Linked DNA regions of Oryzias latipes. The protein of the gene in region 2 interacts with the protein of the main gene of each other region in a pairwise test. Links are inferred from orthologs where the notes say so. Each region holds a gene or a part of one and is shown on either strand. Other genes may lie near its edges. The genes, in order: putative transcription factor p65 homolog, keap1, heat shock protein HSP 90-alpha, lsm3, prkag1, etf1 and nfe2l1.

The links.
Region 1: the proteins of keap1 (region 2) and putative transcription factor p65 homolog interact in binary tests that used the Homo sapiens proteins (3 or more experiments, as listed by UniProt). The link is inferred for Oryzias latipes from reciprocal best matches to the Homo sapiens genes KEAP1 and RELA.
Region 3: the proteins of keap1 (region 2) and heat shock protein HSP 90-alpha interact in a two-hybrid assay, tested with the Homo sapiens proteins (2 studies listed by BioGRID). The link is inferred for Oryzias latipes from reciprocal best matches to the Homo sapiens genes KEAP1 and HSP90AA1.
Region 4: the proteins of keap1 (region 2) and lsm3 interact in binary tests that used the Homo sapiens proteins (3 or more experiments, as listed by UniProt). The two-hybrid records come from large-scale screens. The link is inferred for Oryzias latipes from reciprocal best matches to the Homo sapiens genes KEAP1 and LSM3.
Region 5: the proteins of keap1 (region 2) and prkag1 interact in binary tests that used the Homo sapiens proteins (3 or more experiments, as listed by UniProt). The two-hybrid records come from large-scale screens. The link is inferred for Oryzias latipes from reciprocal best matches to the Homo sapiens genes KEAP1 and PRKAG1.
Region 6: the proteins of keap1 (region 2) and etf1 interact in binary tests that used the Homo sapiens proteins (3 or more experiments, as listed by UniProt). The two-hybrid records come from large-scale screens. The link is inferred for Oryzias latipes from reciprocal best matches to the Homo sapiens genes KEAP1 and ETF1.
Region 7: the proteins of keap1 (region 2) and nfe2l1 interact in binary tests that used the Homo sapiens proteins (3 or more experiments, as listed by UniProt). The link is inferred for Oryzias latipes from reciprocal best matches to the Homo sapiens genes KEAP1 and NFE2L1.

Annotation. Positions count from the first base shown.
Region 1 is NC_019876.2:27,225,088-27,229,057, forward strand, and holds the end of putative transcription factor p65 homolog, read left to right. Parts: intron 1-40; coding exon 41-256; intron 257-334; coding exon 335-415; intron 416-500; coding exon 501-584; intron 585-2,072; coding exon 2,073-2,878; 3' UTR 2,879-3,470; downstream 3,471-3,970. Other genes in the region: UPF0696 protein C11orf68 homolog, read right to left, coding at 3,768-3,771; UPF0696 protein C11orf68 homolog, read right to left, coding at 3,768-3,970. UniProt on the Homo sapiens protein: NF-kappa-B is a pleiotropic transcription factor present in almost all cell types and is the endpoint of a series of signal transduction events that are initiated by a vast array of stimuli related to many biological processes such as inflammation, immunity, differentiation, cell growth, tumorigenesis and apoptosis.
Region 2 is NC_019859.2:10,401,000-10,404,971, reverse strand, and holds the start of keap1 (kelch-like ECH-associated protein 1), read right to left. Parts: upstream 2,801-3,972; 5' UTR 2,682-2,800; exon of another isoform or gene 2,678-2,681; intron 2,605-2,677; exon of another isoform or gene 2,587-2,604; intron 878-2,586; exon of another isoform or gene 819-877; intron 610-818; 5' UTR 1-609. UniProt on the Homo sapiens protein: Substrate-specific adapter of a BCR (BTB-CUL3-RBX1) E3 ubiquitin ligase complex that regulates the response to oxidative stress by targeting NFE2L2/NRF2 for ubiquitination.
Region 3 is NC_019882.2:17,294,550-17,298,759, reverse strand, and holds the start of heat shock protein HSP 90-alpha, read right to left. Parts: upstream 2,801-4,210; 5' UTR 2,641-2,800; intron 1,778-2,640; coding exon 1,628-1,777; intron 1,342-1,627; coding exon 975-1,341; intron 892-974; coding exon 758-891; intron 675-757; coding exon 351-674; intron 269-350; coding exon 103-268; intron 14-102; coding exon 1-13. Other genes in the region: heat shock protein HSP 90-alpha 1, read right to left, coding at 3,373-3,482, 3,576-3,909, 3,997-4,210. UniProt on the Homo sapiens protein: Molecular chaperone that promotes the maturation, structural maintenance and proper regulation of specific target proteins involved for instance in cell cycle control and signal transduction.
Region 4 is NC_019863.2:18,333,459-18,337,719, reverse strand, and holds the start of lsm3 (U6 snRNA-associated Sm-like protein LSm3), read right to left. Parts: upstream 2,801-4,261; 5' UTR 2,718-2,800; coding exon 2,697-2,717; intron 1-2,696. UniProt on the Homo sapiens protein: Plays a role in pre-mRNA splicing as component of the U4/U6-U5 tri-snRNP complex that is involved in spliceosome assembly, and as component of the precatalytic spliceosome (spliceosome B complex).
Region 5 is NC_019863.2:4,033,369-4,037,336, forward strand, and holds the start of prkag1 (5'-AMP-activated protein kinase subunit gamma-1), read left to right. Parts: upstream 1-1,168; 5' UTR 1,169-1,577; coding exon 1,578-1,646; intron 1,647-1,840; coding exon 1,841-1,892; intron 1,893-1,976; coding exon 1,977-2,077; intron 2,078-2,143; coding exon 2,144-2,225; intron 2,226-2,302; coding exon 2,303-2,361; intron 2,362-2,475; coding exon 2,476-2,521; intron 2,522-2,599; coding exon 2,600-2,654; intron 2,655-3,805; coding exon 3,806-3,932; intron 3,933-3,968. UniProt on the Homo sapiens protein: AMP/ATP-binding subunit of AMP-activated protein kinase (AMPK), an energy sensor protein kinase that plays a key role in regulating cellular energy metabolism.
Region 6 is NC_019868.2:15,426,116-15,430,046, forward strand, and holds the start of etf1 (eukaryotic peptide chain release factor subunit 1), read right to left. Parts: upstream 2,801-3,931; 5' UTR 2,665-2,800; intron 2,478-2,664; exon of another isoform or gene 2,415-2,477; intron 2,305-2,414; 5' UTR 2,280-2,304; coding exon 2,194-2,279; intron 1,131-2,193; coding exon 955-1,130; intron 796-954; coding exon 656-795; intron 561-655; coding exon 422-560; intron 335-421; coding exon 144-334; intron 1-143. UniProt on the Homo sapiens protein: Component of the eRF1-eRF3-GTP ternary complex, a ternary complex that mediates translation termination in response to the termination codons. The eRF1-eRF3-GTP complex binds to a stop codon in the ribosomal A-site.
Region 7 is NC_019877.2:19,058,808-19,062,960, reverse strand, and holds the start of nfe2l1 (endoplasmic reticulum membrane sensor NFE2L1), read right to left. Parts: upstream 2,801-4,153; 5' UTR 2,600-2,800; intron 2,473-2,599; exon of another isoform or gene 1,728-2,472; intron 1,618-1,727; 5' UTR 1,348-1,617; coding exon 790-1,347; intron 33-789; coding exon 1-32. Other genes in the region: cdk5rap3 (CDK5 regulatory subunit-associated protein 3), read right to left, coding at 3,643-3,708, 3,903-4,074.

The DNA.
Region 1 (3,970 bases), on a different chromosome or scaffold from region 2:
CAATTCTTTGGTGTTCTCCCATGTTCCCGTCTCCCTGCAGAGGACATCGAGGTGCGTTTCTTCCAGGACTCCTGGGAGGGGAAGGGCACCTTCTCCCAGGCGGACGTGCACAGGCAGGTGGCGATCGTCTTCCGCACGCCGCCCTACCGTGACACCAACCTTGTTGAGCCAGTTAAGGTGAAGATGCAGCTTCGGCGGCCGTCTGACCGTGAAGTGAGCGAGCCTGTGGACTTCCAGTACCTACCAGCTGACCCAGGTAAGATGCACACATCTCTACCTTCCTAGGACATGTCATGCATTCATCCTCATGTGAAATCTTTCACTCTTCCTAAAGATGAATACCGGCTGAATGAGAAGAGAAAGCGGACAGCAGATGTATTCCAGAACTTGAAGCTGGGGTCGATGCTGTCCAGTGGTACGCTCACTAGATACTGTTAGCTGTTCTTTGAAGGTTTTTGTTAAAGTGTTTATGACCAAAAAAACGGCATCTGTTGTTTCAGTTTCCATCCCATCAGACCGGCGGCAAATGAACTTTGCAAGGAGAACAGTCCCACCTAAACTTTCCTCTGTGAATGTGTCAACCGGTGAGTTTTGATCCTAAATATTTTGCATCTGATGTTGTTCCTTTAAGGTTTGAATGTTGTTATTTACGGAAAATCCACTGAAAACAAAATAACACGGGTCTGCAACCCTTTATTGGGACAATTTGGCTTTCAAGAAAATGCTAATCGCTTGAAGAAATTATAGGTTATTTAATGAAGTTTAGTCATGTAACCGAGCCTGTGATGGTTAAAGGTTTCATCTACTGTCAGAGTAGCTTATTATAAGAATGAGTGTAGAGCTCCTACTCTGATCTTCAGATGCAGTCATTCAGAACCAAAGAATTGCATCTATATGCATAGATTTTTACAGAAAATCCGGATTCTACGCCAATGTTGTCATGTTTATATTTAATAAACAGCTAAAGGACAAAAAAAGAGGAGATGTTTGACTTGTCGACTGTATCTGAGAAATGGACTGAGTGATGTCATTGATAGAAAATGGTTTATTTCAGCCTCCAACCAAATGAAGTCAGTTCAGTCGCCTTTTATTTAATATTTTTTTTGGATTGGTCCGAGTCGAGCTGAGCCAACGTTTCTATTGCAACTATTCTCACCAATCAGGAGTGAAATTGTTCGAAGGCCACACCCCTACGACTTATAAGCAGACTCAGTAGAATCTGTCAATCAAATGTTTCGAAATTTCAACAGGGCACCACCTACTTTAATTGAGGCATCTGATTGGTCCTTTTATAATTTGAATAACTACAGAAAAAAAATCATTTGAAAAAGATTAATACGTTTATAAAAATGTATCATATCAAGAATTATTGACCAATAGAATGACTGAGTAACAACTGCTTATTTTGGCTTCTTGGAACTAGCAGGTACTTCCTGTTTGGAACGCTGGGGGGGGGTCACTCAGTCCAGTTCTCATATACAGTCAATGGTTTTACTTGGGTTTCTTGTATTTTTTTTCAAGTAAATCTTCCGTAGCAGGAGGCTCTCATTTGACACAGGATGTTTTATTTTGAAAGGAACTTACGTACGTAATGCTGTCAAAAGTAAAATATCTTAAATTTGTTTCTACATAGAAAAACATAACACAGTTATAATTCAATTATAGTAAATATTTACGAGCTAGATTTTATGAATGAATGCCTCGATGGCCACAAAAACATGAATCACATTTTCTAAACATGTAGTGGAACTTTGCGGCTCTGGCTGAGTCTTGGTCTTAAAACACAAAAACTTGGACAATAACTGTTCCTTAACTTTAGTTACTGCAAATATTACTGAAGCTTCACTCTGATCATGTTTTTATCTATTTTCAAAGTGTTAACAGTAATCTTTTAATGACGTTTTTGGCCTAAATCTAAACATCTGCGGTCGTCTCCAGGACATAGTTTCTGCAGCGCGGCAGGAGTTTGTTAGAAATGATCCTCTGAGTTGTGGGCGGGGCTGTTGCCGCCTGCCTGTATGTAAGGATAGAGTGGAATTGCAGCTGTTGAACTGAAACTGTTTGTTTTTCAGGGACCGAGACGCCCCCTGGTGCCAGTGCAGCCAAACCACAGGCCCCTTTCCTCTTCACTCAGCCGATCCAGGCCCCTGCGCCGCACAAGAGGGAGCTCCCCGACGCAACTTCAAGCCAACCCTGGAGATTTATGGAGACTCTGAAGAAAGATTTACAGACCCCCTTCGCAGGGAGTTCTTCATCAGCCGCTCCCTCCTCCTCCACCACCATCAGCGCCTCCACGGCGAGCAACCAATACCCCACAGTCAACATAGCAGACCTTCAGGAGTTCTTCCCCAACATTTTGTCCCCCATGAATCAGGAGGCAGAAGCCACTCAAGCTAGTAGTGCGCCCCCTCAGGCCAGCAGCTCCTTCCCCCTCCAGGCCTCGCAGTTCTCCACAAACCCCGCAGAAGACGACCTCCCAGAGTTCCCCAGCTTCTCTGAGGGCCAGGTCCCCATCACCCTGGATAGCCTGAACATGGACGACTTTGAGGACCTTTTGAACGTGGGCGGGGGTGGCGCCGTTCCCATTGGAAGTTCGGGCCAGCAGCCCCACGCCACCGCACCTCCCCAGAATCCCACAGCGGGCCAGAACCCCTCGGACCCTGCTGGCAACCCAGGAAGCACCTGGATGAACTACCCCAACAGCATCGTCAACCTGCTGCAGAGCGAGGGCATGATGGACGCCGCCCCCCTCAACAACCACCACAGCGGCTACGCAGAACCCGACGACTACCAGCTGCTGTCCGCCGACGACGACCGCCTCATGTCCATTTACGAAAATGAAAATCACGCCGAGTTTGTGGCGGGACGCCAGACCTAAAGGACCCTTTCACCAAAGACTTCTGCTTTCTGCCTTCAGGACTGAAAAGATGCCAAGGGGAAACAGAAAGACCGCTCACTGTGGACAAAGAAACCCCCCAACCACAGATTCAGATCATGTCCTTATCATTACAGAACCATTATGTGGAAGACGACCCGCGCGTGTTCATCAGCTGATGATGGCGTCGCTTCGCTGACACGTGTTTGGCAGGTTTTTGTACTGTATCTGAACAAGTTTATCTGCTGTTTTTAGAGGAAGTTTGGGGTTTTGAATCCAAAAATGAACAGCCTGGTATGTTGGCATGTTAGCATTATACCCTTTTTTTTTTATCAAGTGTCCCTTTGGTTTGAAGTGTCATCCGAAGGTTTTGTCTGCGTGTGTAAAGAACCACATGAAGGTCTACATGTAAATATTTACAGGTTGAACATGTGCTTGCAGACCAGTCCGTGTTCCTGCTTCTGTTATCCTGGTGTTTCTACGGTTACTGTCCAAAGAACCGACTTTTCTGTTTTGCTTTTGGTCAGCAGCCCCCCCCTCCACACACAGACATTATGCCTAACCTTTTTTCACAATAAAATCGACAGAATGTAAAGGAATTCTTCAAAAGTGTTTTATTTGGCTGATCGTGGTTCAAACAGAACGAATTCTCTCAAACTATCAAAAACGTCTCAAAGTTCAGATTTCTGTCACCCTTCCAGCTCCGTAGGTTGTTCCAACCACAAGAAATGAGTGCAAATCAAATACTGCTGGAATTACAGATTGGTTTCTTTCCAAAAAAGCAAAATAAAGGAAGATCAAAACATCTGCAAATGCCGCTCCGTGGCCCGGTAAACAGGAGCAGAACTCTTAGGCGTCAGTCCCACCAAACGCGCTGCCCGTCCGGACTGGACTATGTCAGTTCCAGGTTGGTGACTTTGTTGAGGATGTGGGAACGCCGGGGGACGCACTCCAGGTCAAACCTGCTCTCATAAATGGTGGGGCTAAGTTCCCAGCGGTTCCTTCGGTAGATTCCCAGGTAGGTGTAAACGTCGGGTTTGTAGAACAGCGGGCACTTGATCCCCGTGGAGCGAATGACGGAGTCCAGCTTCATGA
Region 2 (3,972 bases):
GAGTTATGACATTGAAAATAGCTTGAGAGATGCCAGTTCCAGCTGGGCACGCCGTTATACACTGGCCCTCCAGCATGCTGAATGGGAGTTAAAGATTGATGTTGCTGTAATTAAGTTTAAACTACAGAGTCGGGAATCAAAGGGATTTCTTTTAGATCAACTGCATTTGTCACAAAACTCTCTGTCTTTCCACACCTGCATGATACTGACAGAAGCCTGTTAAACATGCCTGTTTGTTGGAGGAATAAAAAGAAATATATGGCAGTAGCCAATTAAATCATGCTCTGAAAGTCTCTTATTAAATCTATGTTGGTCAGTTAAATTCCCTAAAGGAACCAACTCATCAGATGGATCAAAGCTAAACTATGACCGTTAAAAGTAAAACAAATGTTGAGATAAATGTGTAGGAATCCAACAGTTTGACTGCTTGTTGTTTGATAATCAAGAAGAGATCCAAAGGCGTCACTGGTGGGTCTGAGAGCTCTTTGAAACGGAGAAGGAAGAACTGAAGTCTATACTTGAAAAAAAAAAACTTCCTTAAGATTTTCCAGAGCTGGATATCGTTTGTTGTGCCGCTGCTTTCAAGCAGGCAGGGAATTTAGCCGACAGCTGAGGGGAGAAGGAGAGAAAAGGTTTGTGTTAGGAAGCCTCAGATAAATTCTGTGGTCACCACATGATCCCAGTTAAGAACCTTTTAACATGCCACTGTAAAGATATACTTTTTATACAGACGTGTACAACAAAAGTCTAAAAACACTAACATTAAAGATATAAAATAAAACAACATATTTGACTTTAAAAACACACTGCTAAAGTACCTTCAATTGGGCATAAATCCAGCTGACAAGTATTTACTCTTATCCTGTGACCAATCCAGCTGATAGTAAGAAGAACATAGAAAACACTAATTATTTTCAGTTAATCAAACCCATTGTTTTGTTTAATTATTACATGTCATGAAGATAGACATGAACATGAGAATTTTTCAGGCTTGGTGGGGCAAGAACATGACTGAAACATGGCAGAGATTGCTCTCCAGGCTGGTTTGGACAAAAGTACGTCAGCAAGGACAGAATGGGCACGGGTCCACGGGAGGACAACAACTCGACTATTGCATAATGTTAAAATGACAGAGGGGTGGAGGGTGCAACAAAGTGAATGCAGGCCAGTTTACTGTCATCACAACTTCTCCTTTACAGAACATGAAGCAACAGGGATATGAAAGACAAAGAGCAGACTGTGGCCAATTTGACTGGTGAACTCTGAATAGGAAGAGTCAGTCCGTCAGCAACAATCCTAACACGATTACTTATATAACCAACACACCATAGGTTGTATTGAGGGACGAGATAAAAAGACAAGTGTTTTACAGTTCGTAGAGTAGGAAAAAGACTATTTTGTTATCAAAAGTCATGTGTTTAAAGGCTGCTGTGGAGTCAGCCAGTGACACTTACAGTAACACGAAACACACTTTATGACACTGATTTGAAACTGCACTTTTCTTCCTCCTGGTGACTAACAAGGAAAACAGAACATTCCAGAACATATTGCTCAACATGCTATCGCTCACAAACAAGCAGCTAGCGTATCAGTCTGGTGAATGTGGCATTTCATCTCTTTGGTATTGAACTGAGAGGGTAAACTTATTTATTTAGCTGGTGTTCAGAGCATTTTGTTTTGGTTCAAATCTTTTTCCAAATGAGCAAGGAGCTCAAAAAGTGTAACATTTTCAATAACATAAACATTATTATGTCATTTTACTTTTTTCTCAAGATATTTATATTGCAAAAAAATGAGAGTTTGTGTTGCATTGTCATTTTTAGTAACAAAAAAGTTCAATAAACCCCTGCACCTCAATTTGGGAACCCCCATTTGAATCAACTTTATTTATAAAGCACCTTTCATACAAAAGGTGCAACTCCAAAAAACGGGCCTGCAATCAATAGCTGTCACTTTAAAAAAAAGCTGCAGAAAATCTGTGGAGACCACAACAACTTGGAGAGACTTTCACTTCTAGATTCGTCGCCAAACTTTGTGCGAAACAGCCAACGCGGAGGGGGCGAGGCCGAAGACAAGCAAAGAGCGTCCAACGTGTTTTGTTGGCATTCGTGGTGGAGGAGGAGAGCTTCCCTCGTTGGTGACTCATTGCGAGCTATTCGCCAAGCCAGAAAGAGTGGAACTGAATGTACCAAAACGCGACCCAGAAGTGGAGCTGGTTCTTATGTAAGCCCGGGGATGGAATTAGATTTCCATCCCGTGCACCTTTCCTAGAAGAACTTTCACACAACGCGAAGTTTAGCTTTCACTCCACACTGACTAAGGTCATCATCTACACTTACTACAAGCTTGTTTTCGGCTGAAACTGCCACAGAGCTGGCATGCAACAGCAAAAACACAGATGAAGGTGGACCAAACTGAGGTCTAAAAAGATAAAAAATTCCGCGGTCTCATTGATTGGAAGAAAACACCGAGGTGGAGGTAACGCTATCGGCAGCAGCAAAATAAGCCCCTAAAATAGACAGTGGAGTAACGTCTGAGAACTGATAGCTACAAACATGCTAACAAAGAGTAAGTACTCAGTCTTACCGCCCAAAAAACCTACTTTCCGTTCAACCGAACTGACAAAACCGTACTGATGGACATTTTAAAATTTAACTGTAAAGTAAAGGCAACTCACGTACTCTCTTATTTCCAACGTTTTCTGCCGAGCTGTGCGCCACATAGGAAGGAGGAGGGGAGGCTGTAACTCACCGTGACTAAGCATTGTACTAGTCAACTGGCCTTCACAATAAAAGCATGCTTCCTGAACGTCGGGACCGCCTCCATTGACGAGCAATGAGTCGTGTTTGCGTCAGGGGGTGGTAGGCTTTTATTGGGAAAGGAGTCTCAGAATTAAAAAAAAACAAAAAAAGAAAACCAGGCCAAAAGGTTAACTTTGAGTTAAAATTGTGACTTATTGCTTAACAAAACTGTTACAACCATTACAGTTATACTTTACTCATATGTTTATCCTCTTAAATAAGCATTGCATCTACACAAGAACAATTCAATCTTATAATAAGAACATACATATGTCACTCATACTCAGAAATCTCTGAACCAATCTACATTAAAAGAAAACATGATGCAGCTCTCTCGCAATCATCTTATCTAACAATTATTTTTTATCAGAAAAAAAATCTGCCTTGCTTCAGATGGGACCAAAACACATTTTGGCTTGTGCTGACACACCAAGTTTTTTCACTCCTGCAAACTGTGAAATCCGGGTCAATAGGGTAGTAGCCTACATAGCAGCCTTGTTTTTAAAAGAAATCACAAGGTGGCAGTAAAAGCCAACAGTTACAGCTGCAAAGGTCAAGCCTCTGTTGAGTCATGTCAGTAAGCTCATTTGTCAGCAGAGATAAAAACAACCGTCTTATAGATTATTTCTGCACACGTGTTCAAGTGTGGGAAAGAAAGCCTGACTGCTGTCTGCAGGAGTATTGCAAAAACCTGCAATCAGCATCTGGGAAAATTTCGATATTGTTAAAGAATCAAACGACAAACAAAACCAGAGCAATGAAACCAAGTCTTTTGTTAACCCACTGATAAACTGTGCTTTGCTGAGACAATAAGAGCGGGATGCATGTGAGTCAATGTCTCCTCCAGATGTGTTTTCAGACCACATAAATCACACACAACAAAATGCAAAAAGAGTGATGGTTCGCCTAAGAAAATATTTTATTATTTGAATGAAAAGGAAGGTAACAAAATACAATTCACATTACAAGTGTTATAAAAAAACATATTTTTCAGTAATGAAAAATTTGTCGCTACATTAAGTTCAGCACAAAATAGAAAACTGTCACATTCATCCACTTCGACTGTATTTCAGCCGCAGATATCTCAAGAAAAATGGAAACGTTTGTGATGATTGACAGAAAGAAGTATTGTAGTTACAGCCCTGAAGTTTTCTTGAATTCCCATAAAATA
Region 3 (4,210 bases), on a different chromosome or scaffold from region 2:
CCCCTGATGAAATCTGACAAATGAAAAGTAGAATTCAGTTTAGTCATTTTGCTCCCCGCTCACCTCAGATTAGAATAGAATCCAGCAGGTCCGGACACTTACTGAGATACTCAGGGATGAGCTCATCACAGTTGTCCATGATGAAGACTCTACGCACGTAAAGCTTGATGTTGTTCTTCTTCTTTTTGTTCTCAAACAGGTCAAAGGGGGCACGGCGGGGCACGAAGAGGAGGGCACGGAACTCCAGCTGCCCTTCCACTGAAAAATGCTACAGAGGAAGGAAAGGGGGGGTTCAGAAAATGTTTCCCTTGAGACCAGATTTCCCCTCAACTTCCATCTGAATCACCAACCTTGACAGCCAGGTGATCCTCCCAGTCGTTGGTGAGACTCTTGTAGAACTCCCCGTACTCCTCGTTGGTGATGTCGTCTGGGTTGCGGGTCCACAGTGGTTTCGTTTTGTTCAGCTCCTCCTGGTCGATGTACTTCTCCTTGATCTTCTTCTTTTTTTTCTTTTTGTCTGAGGACTTGTCATGGTCATCCTCTTCATCTGACCCCACATCCTCAATCTCAGGTTTGTCCTCATCCTTCTCTTCCTCGTTCTTCTCCTTGTCTTTCTCCTTCTCCTCTTCCTCAGCCTCGTCGTCACTCACCTCCTTGTCCCGCTCCTTCTCCACCTGCAACCACAGAAGGAACAGTTTCAGCTCACTCGGATCAGAATACATCCCCTCGAAGTAAAATACAGGGTTCTGATACGTACAAAGAGTGTGATGGGGTAGCCGATAAACTGAGAGTGTTTCTTCACAATCTCCTTGATCCTCCTCTCCTCCAGGTATTCTGACTGATCTTCTTTCAGGTGGAGGATCACTTTGGTTCCTCGGCCCAAAGGCTCAGCTAGACATTGAAACCAAGAGTCAGTCAGCACACGAGAACCACAAACACCAGAAGCTGACATTCAAAAGCCTCACATTACTTACAATTGTCCAGTTTCACTGTGAAGGAGCCTCCAGCAGAGGATTCCCAAGCGTACTGCTCGTCGTCGTTGTGTTTGGTGATGACCGTCACCTTCTCAGCCACCAAATATGCAGAGTAGAAGCCCACGCCGAACTGCCCGATCATGGAGATGTCGGCTCCGGCTTGTAAAGCCTCCATAAATGCTTTAGTTCCAGATTTGGCGATGGTTCCCAGGTTGTTGATCAGGTCCGCTTTGGTCATTCCGATTCCCGTGTCCATCAAGGTCAGCGTCCGCTCCTGTTTGTTTGGCGTGATTTCGATTTTGAGTTCCTTTCCCGAGTCGAGCTTGGCGGGGTCAGTCAGGCTCTCGTAACGGATTTTGTCCAAAGCCTGTCGGAACAACGGATCCATGAACTTCCTTTTAGACGACCTGCTCACTTTTCATTTAGTACAACTGCAGCCAAAATGCAATTCTATGGGATTTAAATGGAATTTAAATTCATAAAAATAAAAAGCAGATAAAAAAAAAAAAAAAAATTCAATCAAAAAGAGACAAAGCCCAATGAGCACTGCCTAAGAAGAAACTGTCCAAGAATAATCAGTGAATTTAATAAATTAGCATTAGATTCAGTGCAGATGAAATATAGAAAAAAATCTTAGGCTTGTGTAAACTTACATCTGAGGAGTTAGAGATAAGCTCTCTGAGGAAGATCTCCTTGTTGGAATAGAAGGTGTTGATGATCAAGGACATAAGCTGAGCGATCTCAGCCTGGAATGCGAAGGTCTCAGTCTCCTCCTCCATTGGTTGGTCATGCATCTCAGGCATCTGAGTAACAAGAAAATATATCCTTTAGCTTAAGTTAACTAAAAATTAACCTTTAGTTATTGTTCCAAACACAAACAGCTTTATAGTCAAGATAGTGGGTTTAATAGAATGAGGGACACAAAAAATGAGTAATCTGGTAAAGTAGAGTCTATTATTTTGAAAAAAAAAATAATAATTCTAATCCTTAAAATTCAGATATACAATCCCCTTTTATAATCCTCCTTTAAAATTGGTTTTCAGTTCACCAAGTCCGAAACTAAAAATCTCAAAAATATAAAAAAAATTGTTTACATTTTAAATATTTAATTAAATTTGAAAAATCTTTTGAACAAGTCTCCAATGGCCTTTTTCTCCATCTCTTCCATTTGCGCAGCAGTGTCGCCCTCTGCTGGTTACCCAGCGTAAGGCGAGTTTCTAGAAGGTACCAGGAGGAGAGCAGAGCACGCGCAGCTTCACGAGGAGCAGAAAGTCGCTGCTCTCATCAACCGTTTTCAGAGTTCGTATGAATGAGATGTCCGCACAAAAAAATAAAATAAAATACCGGGACCAGCTCGCCCGGCTAAAACAACGGCTTAAAACTATAACAACAACAATTAAATAACCCGTAAGCGCATAATGTTATACTGCTGACACATGCAGGGCAGCAGCATCTCATCATTACCACTCGACTGGACAAAAAAAGTGGTTCCTTTATTAACCCTTAGAGAAAAATTAAACATTTGAGTAAATAGTTTGTGGCTAAATGCTTAAAAAGTAATTCACCCTAATAATCAACGAAGTGTGCAAAGTTAACAGATTTAAGAACCTTATTTTAGTCTCTAATCACGACGAGTCCTGCAGCTCATTGTGAGTGCATCATTTACCTTGGTCCTCCGTGGGAGTGGAATGCTCCGCTATTGATCGCTGTTTCTCGCTTTCGTCGCTCCACTGCTTCAAAATCTGTCCCGCCGTTCGTCTCTCCGCTATTTGTACTCTTTCAGAGGCTTCGAGAAAAAACCCTGACGGGGGCTTCCAGAAGCGTCTGGAATCCTCCCGGCTGCGGCTTGGTGGTGCTCGCTGATAGGCTGAGCTACACGTCTGTCAACGCCCGGTCCCCGCCCATTTCACCATATTTGGTGTTGGTAGGTGGAGAATGTGGAGAGACTATACCAAGCGAGGAACACGTGTAGGAGTGGGATCTAGAAAGAACCACGCTGTGTGCATTGAAAATTCCAGAACTAGAAAGAAAAACCTTTTCAAGTTACGAACTTTCTTAATTAAAATGTGCTTCACATTTGCAGAATTGGTATTTGACATTTTTGGCTTTGAATATTTTAAAGTTTAGCATGCATTAGGTTAAAAAAGACAAAAGGCTCTAACCATTATATTTTATTAAAAATTTTAAAGTTTTACATACAAAATGTAAAAGTTACAAAAGAAACACAAGTGAAAGCTGAGAAACTTTTTATATAGCGAATTGAGTTTTTAAATGTTTCTATATACAGTGTTTCCATTTTGGCAAAAGTCAATTAATGTCTGTATTTGTTTTGTCCAGGCAATACAACACATGTTACAAAAATAAAATAAAAAACCTTTGAAAGGCCTGAAAAAAACATTTAGTCAACTTCTTCCATTCTTGATGTGTCATCATCTCCCTCCAATACTGGCATATCTTCATCAGTCGGCTGAATGATGTCTTCAACTGCAGAGTCGTCATCATCAATTCCTACAAAAACCAGACAGCATTCTTTAGCAACCAACCAATCTGAACTGTGGGAATTGTAATTGTGTTTGCAGGTATATAGGAAGTAAAACATACCAAGACCCAGTTTGATCATCCTGTAGATGCGGTTAGCATGTGTTTGAGGGTCCTCCAGGGTGAATCCTGAAGACAGCAGGGCGGTCTCAAACAGCAGGATAACCAGATCCTTCACTGCTTTATCATTCTTGTCCACTTCAGCCTTCTCCCGTAGTGTCTCGACGATTGGATGGAGTGGGTTGATCTCCAGATGCTTCTTGGCTGTCATGTATCCCATGGTGGAGTTGTCCCTTAGGGCCTGGGATTTCATGATCCTCTCCATGTTAGCCGTCCAGCCATAGGTGCTGGTGACGATGCAGCATGGGGAGGAGACCAGGCGGTTGGAAACTGTGACCTGTGGAAGGAGAAACAAAGTTTTTAATGATGAAATTCTGGTGATTGATCAAAATTTATGAGGTAAACCCATTTTCCAAGAGCATACCTTTTCAATCTTTTTGTCCAGTATATCTTTCATGATCTTGCAAAGGTTCTCAAACTTAGTTTTGAGTTCCTCCTGCTTCTTCTTCTCCTCATCATCCTCAGGCAGCTCCAGACCTTCCTTGGTGACTGAAACCAGATTCTTTCCATCATACTCCTTCAGCTGCTGGACACAGTACTCGTCGATGGGCTCGATCATGTAGATGACCTCAAGACCG
Region 4 (4,261 bases), on a different chromosome or scaffold from region 2:
ACTACTTTTTTTCCCATCTCAACACAATTTGACAACACAGAAATCAACTTGTGATTCACAGTTTTTAATTCAGCAATCAAAATAAAATGTTGAAACATCCAACCTACATTTAAGACACCAAAAACGACTGTTTTGTGACATTTATATATGTTTAATATAAAAGCATTACTAATCTCATGGGTTTCAGCAAAACAAGTGAAGGCAGATTACATGTATTGGCGTTTGGGTAACCTGTGTGAATGTGTTTGAACTGTTAAATTAAGAGTATAGCATTAAAAATAAAAATAAAAGACAAAAAAAAAACATTTTGGTGACTAAAAATTCTAAACCTTGTGATTAGAATGAAAGTCAGTTTGCTTACTAATCTTTTTTTTTTTTTTTTTTTTTTCTAACTTGTTCTGTCCAACTTCTGAGCAAACAGATTAGAGCTGAAGGCTTTTTGTGTTGGACAGGTTTTACTATCACAAAAAGAGGTTATATAGCTTCAAGAAACTAGAGTGTAGATTTGTATAAACCCCTTTTTGTCGTATTATTTTTTATTTATTTGTTACATTTAGTGTGTGTGGGGAGGGAGAGGGGAAGAATGTGAGGGGAGGGTGGAAGAGAGTAAAAGGAAGAAAGGTGAAAAGGTGGGGGATACAAGCACTGATTTGACTAAGTTATTAATTTAAGCTGTAACAATTATACCAGATCTGCTGGAAAGACGAATGTTACATCAAAGGTCAAAATCTGACACTAAGATGAGCGGAAAAAAAACTGTCCATCAATACACTGTAGGTAAGGAGGAGGGATGAAGCAGACAGGGAGCAGTGTGGCAGTGTGCACGTGCACGTGGGGGTGGAGATACATGCATGCTGCCGACGTGAACCGTGTGTTCATAAAGGGAGCCAGATCCTACCCAGCCAGACCAGCCAGACCAGGAGAGGGGAGGAGAGCCCCCCAGGCCAGAAGCCCCCCCAGCATCCGGACCCAGGCAGCCCGGGAGGGGAGGAGGAGGGGACCGCCCACCCCACCAGCCAGGCACAGAGAGGGCCCCCCTACAGGGGCCCCCCCAATGCCCAGAGGCACAAGCGAACCCAGTGTCCGGCCCCCAGGCCACAAGACAGGAGCGCTTAGCCGTACCAGGCGGCAGCCATGGGGGCCACCGGGCGCCGGACACCGAGACAAAGGCCAGGGACGAAGCCAGGGCCCCGGAACCCATGAGCCGGCCACCACCCGACCAGCGCCCCGTCCCCGCAAGCCAGCCCAGGCACGCGACCCTAGCAACCCAGGGATCGCCACGCACCCGCAGCCACAGCCACCCCCCTAAAACCCGACGCACTACAACCCCCCCCCCGCCATAATATCTGACCCCCCCTCCCCAACCCTCTCAGTGCCCTCCCCTCTCTGTGATTGGGAGGGAAAGCCCCAGAGGGTCCCAGCGAGCCAGCCCCCAGGTCGGTCCTACCCATGCACTCACACACACATACTCACAATCATCTGGTTACCCTCCCTACCCCCGCCGCCAAGCAGTAACCCCCCCCCCCCCCCCCCCCCCCCAGCCGGCCAACCCCCAGCGCCGCATGCCCGACCCCTCCCGCAGCCGACAGGACACCCATAAGCCTGGCCGCCCTGAGAGGACCAGGCGGGTGAAGACCGGCCGCCCCCCCCCCCCGACCCCACCCATGTATGGAGGTGTGGGAGTGCTGTGTGTGTGCTGCAGGTAAAATAGGAGGTCACCAGTGTGGGGGGCTCCACCGCTGCCAAGCCGCAAAGCCCCCCACTCCGGAGTCCCTCTGTGAGTGGTGTGTATTTGCTGTGTGTGTGCTGCTAGCATGCAGTGTGTGTGTCTACAGAGGAAGTTAAAATTGTGGGGGGGCCAGCGAAAGGTGAGCACGGATGTTTCACCGTGCCCCCCTCCACCAGACCCTCTCCACAAGGCCCTAGATGAATCAGAGTGTCTAATATGCAAGTAAAAAGCGGGGAGGAGGGCGGGTGCCAACGAGAACCCAGAGAGGGGCATCCCCAGTGAGCCCCGCCAGCATACCCCTCCCATCCAGATCCCGGGGCCCTATGTGCCTGTGTGCAATATTTGTTTGGGTGAGAGCGGGGAGGAGCGGGCGGATGGGCACAACCGGGGGAGAAGGCTCCCCCGAGCGACCGGCCCCCCAGCCGGCCGCGGTAGGCGCCCCCCCCCCTCCCAGAGCGGCCGGCAGCCAGAAACGCCAAGCGTTTCAGAGAGTAGAAACCTCAAATGTAAAGTTTCAGTCCTCGAGGGCAGGTGTCCTAGTCTGCCTGCTGTTGATTAGCAAAACACACCTGAGGTAACCAGAATCAGAAGAAGGCCGTTTAATGAACACAGCAGAATGCATGCCCTCGACGGCTGGAGCTACAGCTGTTGTTTTCCCCACACATTTTACACAAACTTTCCTTCCTGTATAAACTATTTAGCTGCCTGGTTAGCACTAAAGCAATGAACTGTGTTTCAAACCAAACATTTGCGTTCAATTGAAACACAGGAACACCAAGGCTAATAATTCGGCTAACTCGGTTAGCCGCTTCCACGGCCCCAAACAGGTCAAAAACGTTCCTGTAATAACCTTAAAGCACTTTAAAAATAATGCAGCGTGCAGCGCAGTCTGCACTTTTAGAAGCAAAGTGGGCTTCTGTTCGTTCGTTGTAAGGTTAAACATATAATTAGCGAAAGAACCGCTAACCTGCTCAGCTTCGTCCGCCATACTGTTCGAGCATGCGCGCGTCGATTCCGGTACGCAGGTTGCCAGGTCCGGTGAAATTAAGATTTCAAACGGCAACACACACGTGCGTTTCGAATTATCCCTCGATTTCCAGTTCAACAAAGTTGAATTTTATACAAATAATTAGTTTACAATATATATCTATGCGTACTTTGAGAATGTGAAATGTTTATTATTAAAACTTATGGTATCAACATCCATCCTTAAAAGACTAAATTTAAAGTATGTGTAAATCCATACATAGTCCTTACCTAAAATTTAAATACAACACAAACATCTCCTTGTTGCATCCCTGCCACTTTTAAATTGAAACAACTGAAAAGACTAAACTATAAAGAAAAGAAATTCACCTTTCTCTCGACGCGTTGCGTGTATGTTCAAACCTGGCAACGTTATCCAGTACCGTCCTTTAGCGTTTTCCAGAGCTTTCTGTCCTCACAGGACACTGTCGTGTCATCCGCGCAGAGCAGCGAGAAGGTAAATTAATTCATAAATATCTGTTCATTTTGAGGTATTTGTCCTGTCTACACTAATATTCCAGAGCGTTTTGAGTGGTAGTAAAGCTGTTATTGGGAATTCAGTGTCTAACGGGTCTGTTTAGAAATATTCCGTATGCGAAATGTTAATGTAAACGAGAAATGAAATGTAAATAGTTACACATAATGAAGCTTTCCGTTAGTGAGAAAACCGTTAAAATTCTTTTAAGAGAGAATATATTCCTAAAATGTAATCTGCAGTTTATTCAAATATTTATTTTTAATGATTACACTAAATAATTAATCGATTTATTAATTGAAACTAACAGACCAAAAAAGGCTATTTTATGTTCATTGATTACTCTTTTCAAAGTCTTGCATTTAAAGATAAGAAATCGTTTTAATAACAGTCTAAAATTATAATAGGTGGACTTAAAAAGCAGAAAAACGAAATAAATTGCTTTTCAATTATTATTTTTTTTATTAAAAATAACAATTTCTTGTATACAGGATACCAACCAAGTGTTGGAAAATAAAAAGCAAAATGCTATTTAAGTAAAGATAAAATGATGCAGCGGTTGTGATTTATTGCGTCATTATTTTATTTTGGGGAAAAAACTATATTTATTGAACATCACTAGTTTAGACTGGTTAATGTAACTAAATGGGTTGCAGACGTTCTGTTTGTGATGTCATACACAGCCTCTGGTCCTGTGAGGCTGCTATTCTCCGCGTTGTGTTTGTAGGGTTACAGGTGTGCGCCTCCTCTCTTCTCAGGACGATCCAGTTCTTCATACTGGATTTGTCAGTGGGAGGGGAGGCAGATCAGAGCAGTGGTACTGCCCATTCCACCCTCAGCTACATCATGGCTTTGTGATGGAAGAGATCCTGCAACAAGCTCAGACAGCACCGCAAACAGGCTCCACGCTCAGTTCACACTGTTTCCTGTTTATACTGCTCTTCACTGAGAATCAGTGAGAATTTCAGGTGGACTAACACTGTTTTTCTGCTTGCTCAGCAGCTCAGGGCAAATGGGTAATTGGTGAGAAG
Region 5 (3,968 bases), on a different chromosome or scaffold from region 2:
TCCTCCTCTGTTTTGTGTTTTCTTTTAATCACTGTTGGGGTTGTGGTTTGTTTGTGTGTATTGCGGCCCTGAACAGGTACTCCTGATGAGGGTTTGGATTGGAGATCTCCCTTGGGGTTGTTGGTGGCTATCCACTGGTGCAGTGAGGCTGAGGAGTCCCTGGAGGCAGCCGCCCTCATGCAGTGTTGGAGCGCGGTCCAACTGTACGAGTATATTGTAACCTTCAATTTTATGGAACTTGTGTCAAGTTTTTAATCACATTGTATACTAACCACTACCAAATCCAGTCTCCATTTGGGGTGTAAATGTAAGGGCATTCGGTCACAAGTAACAAAAAAAAGAAAACAACCACTGCATGTTTTATTTTAAGATTGAGGACATAATTTATTCCAGAAATGTAAATGTGTTCTATAACCGGTCCTTGGGTCTTGGCGGGCCGCACAGAATAAATAACTGTCATCCGTTTGCTTTATTTCGGAATCTGAAAGATGTTTTATTTTGAAAAACTGCTCGATTCTGTTACACCGTCTATGTCACTTGGACGCAGGCCAAGGCGCTCTTCTCGGTCACGTGATGGGTTACCGCTAGAATAAAACCCAGGAGCTAACAAAAGGAGTAAAACAAACTCCTTTGGAAAGTTTATTTGCCAAGGGGAAAGGGGCCAGCCAGGAGGCAGAAGAGGAGCCTTCCACTTCCAAAAAAAAAGCTACATTTGATACAGTACTTCTCTTTTGCACCACGAGAGTGGGAAGGGGAGAGGATGAGACCTGTGCGGTGTACGACATGTCTGTCAAAATAAAAGCTTGGTGTTCGTAATGTTAATGTCTCCGTTCCTCCATAACTTGCCTACAAAAGTGGCCCGCCACATCTTAAAGACCGTGTAAGTTTTGAATGACGCCATACCGGTCCGCGGCGTTAAAAAGGTTGGGCTAGATTTGTTTGTGTACACTTCAGACACCGATTACAGCGACTTCGTTACTGCGCATGTCCAGCTCCTCTGGTCAGAGCGGAAATAGATTGGCGCGGCGTCCTGTCACCCCGGTCAAAAGGAGGCGAACGGGCAATGGAATATGGATTGTGTAAGTGATTGGCTCTGTTTATTTGGGCACATTTAAAAGCCTACTCACAATATGCTCCTAACTCATCATACAATCATTAAAGCCGACGTTGGAAACAGTGCTAGCGTTAGCTGCTAGCTACGAACTTATTTTTCACGTTTGTTTTCGATCTGTCGGTTGTGTGTTTAGAAATCTCCCTATCTGAGGATTCGGCCTCGGAAACGGTTTATTTACGGGTATTCAAACATGGATAAACGGGTTAAATTGTAGTAAGCATAATAAAGACATTCTTTAAAGTCTTTGAACCAATAATTAACTCGAGAGGGAAGGTAAATGACTGACACAGACAGACCGTTAGCTAACAAGCTAACACGTTAGTGTAGAGAAAACCAGTAACAAAGGCTCTTAAAGTACTTTCTGCATGTTTATAACCTGTAACCTCGTCTTAAAGTATATCTATTCATGAACATCTTCTCAGGAACTAGTTTGTTGTTTTGCGTGGCTTCTCCTGGTGGTTAAATGAACAACGTCGGACCAGTTTCGTCAACGGAAATTGTTTTTATTTTACAAACGGGTAAATTAACAAATGTAAGTATATATTTATTAAAAGAAACTTTGACATGGTGCAAAATACGCAGGTGTGTTTCAAATAATCATTAACATGTTCACTCCGGTTCTTTGGTTAATCCAGTTATTTGGTCAGCCATCCTAACCTATGATTTTGGTACAGTTGGTATATTTTAAACTGCTCTTTTTATTATTTTATGTAATTGTTTCCCCAGATTCCAGTAACTATTGATGATCTTGAGGGCAAGAAAGACCCCGTCATTGAAGGTAACAGACTTTTCTGTAGATCTTATGACTCTGACGTAGACTGACTGAGGTGTGTTTTCATTTTTGTTTTGATCAATTCTTCAGACTCCGAACACAATGCGTACACGAGGTTTATGAAGTCTCATCGCTGTTATGATCTTGTACCTACCAGCTCCAAGCTAGTTGTGTTTGACACATCACTTCAGGTAAGAGAAACCTTTTAATCCATCAGATGAACACTTGAACGTTGGTAACTGTCAATAATTGTGCAGGTGAAGAAGGCTTTCTTTGCTCTCGTGTCCAATGGGGTGAGAGCAGCACCTCTGTGGGACAGTAAGAAACAGTGCTTTGTCGGTAAGATTTGTTTTGTTTGTTGGATTTCAGTTCAGTGAATAAACATCTTTATAGCTCATGTTTTTTTTCCCCTACAGGAATGCTTACCATCACAGACTTTATCAACATTCTGCATCGCTACTACAAGTCACCATTGGTAAGATGGTTTAGTCCGCCAGTGGACGAAGCCTTCAAATGTCCAACTTCAGCTGCAAGACTTCTATGTTAGTTACAGTAGCTACTTTCTTTAATACTCTATTTACACTTTCAGGTTCAGATTTATGAACTAGAAGAACACAAGATTGAAACATGGAGAGGTAGGAATGGTTGGAACAAGTTTTGCTGCATAGTTATTCTTACGTTCACTGCAGTAAGATCTTTTATGTTTCCAATAGAACTGTACCTTCAAGACTCCTTCAAACCTCTGGTTAGCATTTCTCCCAATGCCAGGTGAGCAGCAGTAGCACTTTAAACCTTTGTGTTTTTTTTTTTTTTTTACTTTAAAGTCTTGATGAGTGGGCAAACAATGTCTTTTGTTTTTTTGCCTATATTATACTATCATCTTTTGATCTATTCTCAAAGCGTTCCCAGTGGTCTTTTAATTGTGACTATGCCATTTTTAGCCAAAGTCAACAAATCTTCTCTAGGACATAGTTTCTGTAGAGCGGCAGTAGTTCATTAGAAATTTGCCTATGATTTGTGGGTGGGACTGTTGGTGTGGAGCAACCCCGCCCCCCTTCCCCTCCTGGTCGCTGAGAGCTTGGAGCAGGGTGCTTGTGGCCGCCCGCCCAGGGTATTTTCAACGTCACACATACGATCTTTTCTATGCGTCGCTTTTTTTGTGTCTGCTCCTAATTCACAGCAAGTTGAATAAAGCAATACTCAGAATAGCAATTTTGAGCTTAAATTTGTCTTTATATGTGTCTTCAATCATGAGAAATGCCACAAGAACATGTTAAAAACATCAAAAACCCAATTTTCATTGGAGTGGGTCTTTAAGGTGGATCTACAGCTGAGGCGTTCTCATAGAAAATTGCTCATTTCTAAGCCTTTTCAGGGCCGGCATTGGGAATAGCACTGGTAATTGAATAGGTCATCTCCGGAACACTGATGGAATAGTTTGACATTATCTTACCCCAAAAGAGAAACTAGGAAATGGCTTGACATGTTTGTTCAGGGATTCCACTGTAATCTGCAAATGCCTGAAAGCAATAGGTTCTTGACTGGGCTCTGTACTGAACTATGTCAGAGTTTTTGAAAAGGTAATCTGGTAAATGGTAAATAGTGTATAATTGTATAGCGCCTTTCTTCCTACAAGGACAAAGCGCTTTACAGTCACAGACCCATTCATCCAGTCACACACACATTCACTCACACATTCACACACTGGTGGTGGATCTGTACCTTATTAACCCCCAAAAATGGAGCAATAATGACATGAAGCTATATTGGTGGCTGCTATTCCAAATTTCAGCTTACGGTGGGCTTGTTTTTCACACTTCAAAAGCTTTAGCTTTATACTTCTTTATGTTAGCATCTGTCATTTAAAAAAGTGCTGACCAAAAAGTCTACATAGAATCTCACAGGATTTTTTTCCATAGCTTGTATGATGCAGTGTCATCTCTACTGAGGAACAAGATTCACAGACTGCCAGTCATCGACCCCCTGACAGGGAACACCCTGTATATACTCACACACAAGAGGATTCTCAAGTTCTTGAAGCTGTTTGTGAGTTCCTCTGAGGTCGTCTTTACCCGAGTTTCA
Region 6 (3,931 bases), on a different chromosome or scaffold from region 2:
TACACGTTTCAAAACATTTCCTTGGAAAGAAGTACAAACTAAATAATTTTTTCATTTTTTATACATTCTCGCTTATTTGTTGTCCTTTTCATACATAAATACTTTGCAAGTAGTGTATTGTTCTTGAATATTGATAAACTTACTGGGTCAAACATGTCCGACTGGCTAAGTTCGGTTTTGAAGTCAGCAGATCCAGCAAGGACCATTCCTGCCACGTTTACTTTGTCATTGGACACAAAGAGCTGGACAGCGGTCTCAGCCACTTTCCTCACGTAGTTATGTCTTTTCTCCATTCGTAGACGAGCAAAACGCAGCGCGGACTGTCCTCCTCTGCCTGAAAGAAAGGAGAGAAGCACAATCCTGTTATTGACTCGCATCGACACTTAAAGAGCGGTTTTCGCCAGAACAGAGTTTTCTTTACCGTGCTTTTTGGGTAGGTCCACAGTGAACTTGTGCAGCACCTCCCGGGTGTTGCCTTGCAGTGTGCCAAACAATGCTCCACTACCATCAATCACAATAAAGCCAAACTTGCTGTCATCCGAAAGAAGGGCCGTCAACGCCTGTTGAGCAGAAACGGATAAAAAATGAATTTAAGCTACAAACAAAAACACAACAACAACCAACAGCTAAGTAAAGATACAAAGGAAACCCTCACCTCGGTGTGGAACTTGTTGTCACAGAGGTAAAGAGAGGTGTTGATTGGCTTAAAAGGTTCAAAGTCTATATTGACTTTTTTCTCCTTGCCTTCTTCTGTCACAATTGTGCCACAGTACACAACTAAACCGTTGGGTGGCACTGGCAACAGAGAGAAAAAGAAACCGCTGGATAAGACAGAGGAACTCAATTTCTTTTGCACAGAATGAAATTGATTTAAAAAAAAAAAAAAAAAAAAGGTGTCAACTTCATTAAATGTGATCATATTTGCAGTGCGTGATTCAACACGTGTAAACCTACCTTTGTTGTAGAGTTTTAGTCTTTGCTGTACAGAAGTGATGGCCCCAAGCACAGAAAGCCGGTTAACTCGACTCTTGATGTTGGACGCTGTGCCAAACTCATCAGCTAACATCTTGGCCACTCTGGAAATCTGGTCCTTAGGTGGGATGATCAGTGAGATCATACTGGTGCCATTACTGTGAAGAGGAAGAGTTTAAATGTTGTATATCTGTAATAAACTATTCCAGATGGGTTTTTTCTGTAAGGTACTCGGCTAAATAGTACATCTTTCCAAGCTTTTTTTTTTTTTTTTAAAGCCACTACTGTCTCTCTGTTACACTCTACATAATCACTGTCCTTGAAATCAAGGACTAAGTTAAAAGGACAACACAACAGGAAACTCTGACACCACCTACTAACACAGGGGCAGGTAGCGAGGTCTGTGTCTGTAGGGCAAATACTAGCTACAATGTGTGACATGGCAGGCATCTGAGAACAGGACAGCCAATTCTGCCCAGCAGGATCAAGCAACGATCAAGTAGCACCAAGCAGTACATTTGATAAATCCAGATCCCCAAAGGACACGGGTGTAAACTAAAGTAGCACTCTGGAGCGGTCGGTTTTGATCACGTCCATCTTAGACATTACTAACTAAGCTGTTCGGTTGCCATGAGGTGACCGGCAACAGTGAACCAAAAAGTGTCATATCAGCTCTATCATGTGAGCGTCATGGGGGAGAAAAAAAACCCCATTTACATTAGGAAAAGGCGGTATACACAGTAACCGAACGCCCGACTGAAACTAGCTGACCGGCCTCGCGTTTTTTGTTAAAGACACCCATGGCGGCCTCTGTCGTGAAATGACGTCTGAGTCGTGTTAGCGGGTACATTAGCAACAAAGCTAGCAACAATGCCCCTAACTTTGAGCCTCGGTGGAGCCAGGGAGGGGAAAATCTCTGCGGTGTCACTCACAGAAACATGACACACACAGAACACGACAAAACTGTACCTCAACACAACATTTATAACAACAAACCATGCTAAATAATGACACTTGGCGCGCCACATTCGGCTAACAAAAATAGCACCAATAGCTACGATAAGCTAAGTTAGCCATGCTAACCACTCCCAAATTCGGCCCCACTTATCAGATCTCCAGCTGTTGAGTGATGGCTCTGTTAATCCACCAAATGGATTTATAAACTCAGCTTGTTTTTCAACTAAGTGTCGCATTAGCAAGTAACACAGATCGGCAAATTACCCGCGGGCAGCTTCTAAACTTTTGATCAGTTTCTTGATTTTCCATATCTCCACGTTCCTGTCCGCCGCGCTGGGGTCGTCCGCCATCTTTCTGCTGTAATCGCTTCAGCACCTGAAAAGATGTAAAAAGAAGTAAAGGGAATTAGACGAAGGAGGAAATGTGTCGATGGACACAGCCGCGGTTAATATGGCGCTTCTTTTTGAACTATCTGGAGTCTGTACCTCTTCAAACCCCTGGCGCCGTGTCCGCTGCTACACCTGACCAGAGCTGGGCAGCTGGACAAGCTGTAAGGGAAGAGCTGTAGTCTGCCTATTTGCACAGAACGTGGATAGCACCAGGCCTGCTGTCTACTAGGCCCCAGCGCACACCCCGTTCTTATCTAATACGACCTACTTTCTTAACATTACATTAAAATCCAACATAGATTTCCTGACGCGATTTTTGTCGGGAAAATCGGAACCGTTACTTTACCTGCCACGGACAACACCGCTCCACTCCGTTCTCTATCGGCTGCTTTATGTCGAGTCGATAGTCAAGAGGAATGACGTTGCTTTCCCGACCGGTTTCTCTCCCTCACACGCTGCGCGTGGTGCTACAGTCTGGAGATCACATGTGGGAGGTGATTAGAATCGTGGCGTTCACTTCCTAGAAACTGCATAGAAACCAATCATATGCCTCGGATGATCTGTCACTCAAAATTAGATCAAACCGATTGGATGAAATCCAAGGCCGTCACTTGAGCTGGGTGGTCGTTTGTAACTGTGCATCATGGGATTTGAAGTTTTGGAAAAATGCTAGCAACAACAGCTAGGGCAGTTACAGGGGTTTGGTGTGAAAGGATGGAGAATAATAATTATTTTCACCATTGTTTGGTTTGCTTTCGAACATTGCACTATTAAAAAGTTCCCACTCTGATGAAAATTATGTTTTTGTTATTTTTAACATGTCCTTGTGGCATTTTTCTCATGATGGAGGACATATATACAAAAATACATTTCTGAGTATTTCTTCAAATTACGAATGAAGGGCAGAAAAAAATGCTGTTGAAAAAAGCTTGTAGCAATGACCTAGAAACTACAACTGGCAGACCACAAGTTCCCTGCTCCTCTTTATTCTGATGCATCCTTTTGCACACAACTAGATCCATGTACATCTTAGTTTTATGCATCTGAGCTGGCATGTGGCTCAAACTGTATGGCTGGATAGATCATGTAAGCTTGAGATGCACAAAAAAATAGGTGATGGGAAGAAAAAAAAAAACACTGGGAACACTTTTACAGCAGATTAAAAGATGATTAGAGAGGGACATTAAAGCCTATAGCACACCAGTTGGGCCAAACCATTCCAACAGCACTACAAAGTTAAACTTTGTGCACATCATGCTTAAAAATTTTCCGAGAAACTCGATATTTAAGTATGTGAATAGTCCTTAGGAAAGATACTTCAAGTTAGCCAGAGAAAATTTGCTTATCTGCTGTAAACAAATCTCCCCGTGCATGGATGGGTTAACCCTTTAAAGCCCTTCTCCAATCACCTTTTGATCTATTCGAAAAGATTCAACATTTAATCACAGCTTTTATCTGTCGCTCAACATCAGTCCGAATAATCTTTCCTGCTGGGCTTGCACTGTCTTGTTCGCCAAGGTTTTGTTATAAGTAATAATTTCCTTCCTTTCCCTGTCTTTTAACACATCAGAAAACGTGCCACGTTTTTATTTGCCTCCTTCACTTTTATCTCT
Region 7 (4,153 bases), on a different chromosome or scaffold from region 2:
TGCCGCCATAAGATGTCAATTAAGTCAATGTCCTGGAAAACATGAGGTTGCCATTATTATATGGCCTTTTACACAAACTGTTAGTTCAACTCATAGATTCTGCACAGATAATATAACGGAGTAAACCGTAAAACCATAAAATTGATGCCTGAAAACATTTTCCTTTTTATGACAGCATGAAAACTTTAAATTAGAGCTTTAGGCTGTTTATCACAACTTTTCTTTCATTGCACTAGGAGGAGTCAGACCATGTAACACAAATCAGATGATGCAACTTTGGCAGTGATAATCATGTGATAGGGAAAGATTCTGCTGCATCAATTTAGCCATTGTAAGTCCATCAGACAGGTTCCCCTCATTAACACAAATATCACATCTAAAAGTTGATCTGTATATAGAAACTTATCTCCTTTTTTTCTTTAATGCAAATTTGTTGTTAAAATTTAGGGAGTATAGTGCTTATTTTTCAGTTAAAAGTTGACCAATAAAAACGAATTTAACCAACTCAACTGGGTTGGTTAAAACACTGGATTGACGACCAAAAATATTTGTAAATAATCCAGTTTTAACATCTTTTGAATAGGTAAAATCTTTGAATACCACATATCAAAGCATTGTGTAGATAAGCATTTTAAATTGTTATCTATAACTATGTCTGCCTGGCTTGTTGAGGGATCAGGTTTGAAATTACTTTATGTTGCTGTGTAGAAATTTCAAAAATTTCTTAGCATGTTTTTTTCTCCAGCAATAGATATACCCATGAACATGTTTTTGCATCCACGGTGCTACCTCTTTGGTAAGGTCATCATTGCCATCCGCGCTGCTCTGCTCCTGATTACCCTCTGGGGCCACGGCTCCCAGGCTGCTGTCCGCTGCATTCAAGTTGTATGAGGATTCAGGGGCTGCAGCTCCTCCTCTCATGGCCGGGGTCGAGTCGATGTTGTTAATGTCCTCTAGGCTGGCCCCATTGTCCAGGGTTATGCTGGGGCTGGACTGGCTGCTGGTGGACACCACTGTCTCGGTCTCTCGATGCACTAGCCAGGTGTTGAGTTCTGTGCTGGGGACAGAGAGGCGGTCCAGCTGGCGCACCTGGTTTAGCAGCCGTCGAGTTGTGAAAAAATGGTCGAGGTCCACACTCTTTGGATGGATCCCATAGCCATCCAGCGTGTTGCGCAGGTTGTGAAACTGTGTCTGCGTGTAAGCTGAGCTAGGCCCCAGGATGATCTCCCTTAGTGGGGGCAACTGATTGCTTAAATAAGTGTCAACGTCCACCCTCACCCCAATGAGACTCAAAAGGATGGTGAACTGAATCAGGCCCTCTGTGAAGTACTTTTTCAGGTAAAGCATTTCTTTTCAAAGGAACAAAAAATAAAAGTAAAAAAATAACAACAAAAAAAGGACCAATTCTGCTTGCTTAATGACTCTGTGCTAATACTAGGAGAGGAAAACAGATACATGAACATAGAAGTGGAAAGAAGTGGGGGGCGAGGTGTTTAAAAAAAAAAACAACCAAAAGGTTATTTGTGCCTAAAAGGTGTTAAAATCCAAGTTGAGGTTTCCACTTCTTAGAATCATGCCTCTTTGGATTGTTCTTCAAAAGACTTTCATCTTTTAGTCCTGTAAAAAGTGGAAAATCGTATTTTAATGCACTACTACTGCATATCACACCAGCTTGCACATACTAGCCATTACATTGCTTTCGGACTTAAAACACTCGTCGTACGTACCCATATGTGTTGAGAACATTGTACAGGACTTGCTAGCCAAATGCAACCACTTTATCCTCCCAAGACTGGAAAAGTGATGTTAGTTCGCATCGCCTGACCTTTTCTATTCTCGGATATTCAAGCAGACAGTGATGGAGCCGGGAGTTTAGGCATAACCCCACCCTTGACCGAGCAACTACTTCTATCGGATCCCGCTGAAGGTGAATGGGAGTCAAGAACGCTCACCGGACTAGCTCACGCACGAACCGACGTTGGGTGACGGGCTGGGTTCCTCCCTCCTCCCGCACAGCTGCGCCTACCTTTGTCCTTATGACGATGGCTGTGTTAGCAACCTTATCTTTTCGGACCAGCTATAGCTAGTATACATCTATAACCAAGGTATAACGCATCTTCGATAAGATGTGTCGCCGGGTGATATAGTTAGCCCACTTCTAAGTTTAACCCCCCAAAGTGACAGGTGCATCTGCTAATATTTACTATTTTACTTCCGTTAAAGCGGCAATCACACAATCTCCTTAGCAACAAGTGGTGAAAAGATGAGTGACAAAGTGGACAGCCAATCACGGGCCGAGTTATTAACTACGAAATATGACTCCAGTCCCACCTGGCCAATAGGAACGGAGAGTGGGCGTTCCTTAAAGAAAATGCTTCATTGGAAGTCCAACAGTAAACTGTGCTAGCTTTTGCAGGCTAAATTGCTGTCAACTCAGTGTATCGAAAAATACTTTAAAATAGTAATTTTAAAACGCAAAAAATAAACAACCATAGAATGATGTTTTAATCATGTGTTTCCACGTTAGCATTCCCCATATACCAGCAATTTATCGGAGCTACTAAATAGTGCTAAAAAATCTTAATAGAGTACAACTTACCCATCGAGAATATTTAACTGGGTTTTCATACCAGAAGGTTCAATCTCAATTAAGACTGGTAAATAAGTCCAGCTTTATCAAAGGTTCCCCACTGAGCCCGTTATACCACTCCAACCTTCCCTTACTGAATGGCCTACCATGACTTGCAAAATTGCTAGCTGGCCAGGCTAACTTAGCAGCGCTGCTTGACACCAAAACACGCGCGCCCACAGAGCATGCGTAGAACTTTCTAGTGTAAGGTTTTATCAGCCGACGGAAAATCCCCCCACTGGTAATAATAACAGCTGTCAGGACAAGCAAAGTCGCCGTTTTATAATGTCCGACTGAATTTCCACTTTATAGCAATCATGAAAGCACTGATAGCAAAAATACACATTTTAATAATATTTGAAATGTGTCCTTCCTTCCAGCGAAAAAAATATATAAGGAATATAAAAAGAGGCTGAAATGTTTTTTTCTTCAAACTTACATATATGTATGTATGTATATATGTATATCTTATTTTACTTTCTATGGTTAAAATACAGTATGTCAAATAAAAATAAAGTAGGCAATGCCTTAAATAACAGCTTTAAAATAACACCATCATATACTTTCACAAATGCCTGCTAAAAATAATGCTTAAATGTGAAACAAGTTGTATTTCTGTTAGACAATGTAAGTAATTTGTCAGTGCGTAGCAAAAAGCAGTCTATTAAAGAGTACTACAAGTATACTTAATTTATACTAAGTCAGGCAGTATGCTCAAAGTTTATTTTTTATATACTATCTATATATGGTAAATTTGAATGTCAAATTTAGTCCGAAGAAGCATTGTTAGTATCCTTCCTACACTAGATGTAATGGTCAATAGTAGACTTGCTTATACTTTCACTCAGGTATACTTAATAAAACAATCTTTAAATGTACTACTTTTTTGCTAAGGTAAGAAACTGTTTTACATTAATCATTCACTCACAAATCAACAAGAAGGATAATTACAAAACATTTTTTATTTGTCCTTTCAATTATGAGAAATATTTTTGAAACATTTGCAATATTAATTATACATTAACCCCCATCAGGTTGACAGGTCTGTTGTGGTATCTCTTTGAAATGTCAGCTTCAATCTGCAAAGACAAAAAACAGACACAATAATTGACAAAAAATACTTATTATAATTGATGAGTCTTTGGGATGCTAAAAGTGCATCACACTTAAAAAATAAAAAGAGAAAGTGGATAGAGATTAAGAGTCTCAGTGTTGATGCTTTAATGCAACCCTCTCATCTGGAAAGTACCAACTCCAAAAAGTAACACAATACCAGTTTCTGGAGTTCCCGGGTGCGTAGTGCCAGCAGGTCGACACGGGGTTCAAGTCTGGACTGCTCCTCTAAGGCTTCCTGCCTCTTCTCAACCATTGTGGAAGCTTTAAGCACCAGAATGTCTGCCTGCTTCAGCTTCTGTCTCAGCATATCTGACACACGTTCAACATACCTAAACAGAAACAAAAAGATAAAATGATAATTTATTGGTCAAGTGTTCAAAATGAAAGCGACAAAGTTCATCAAAAACA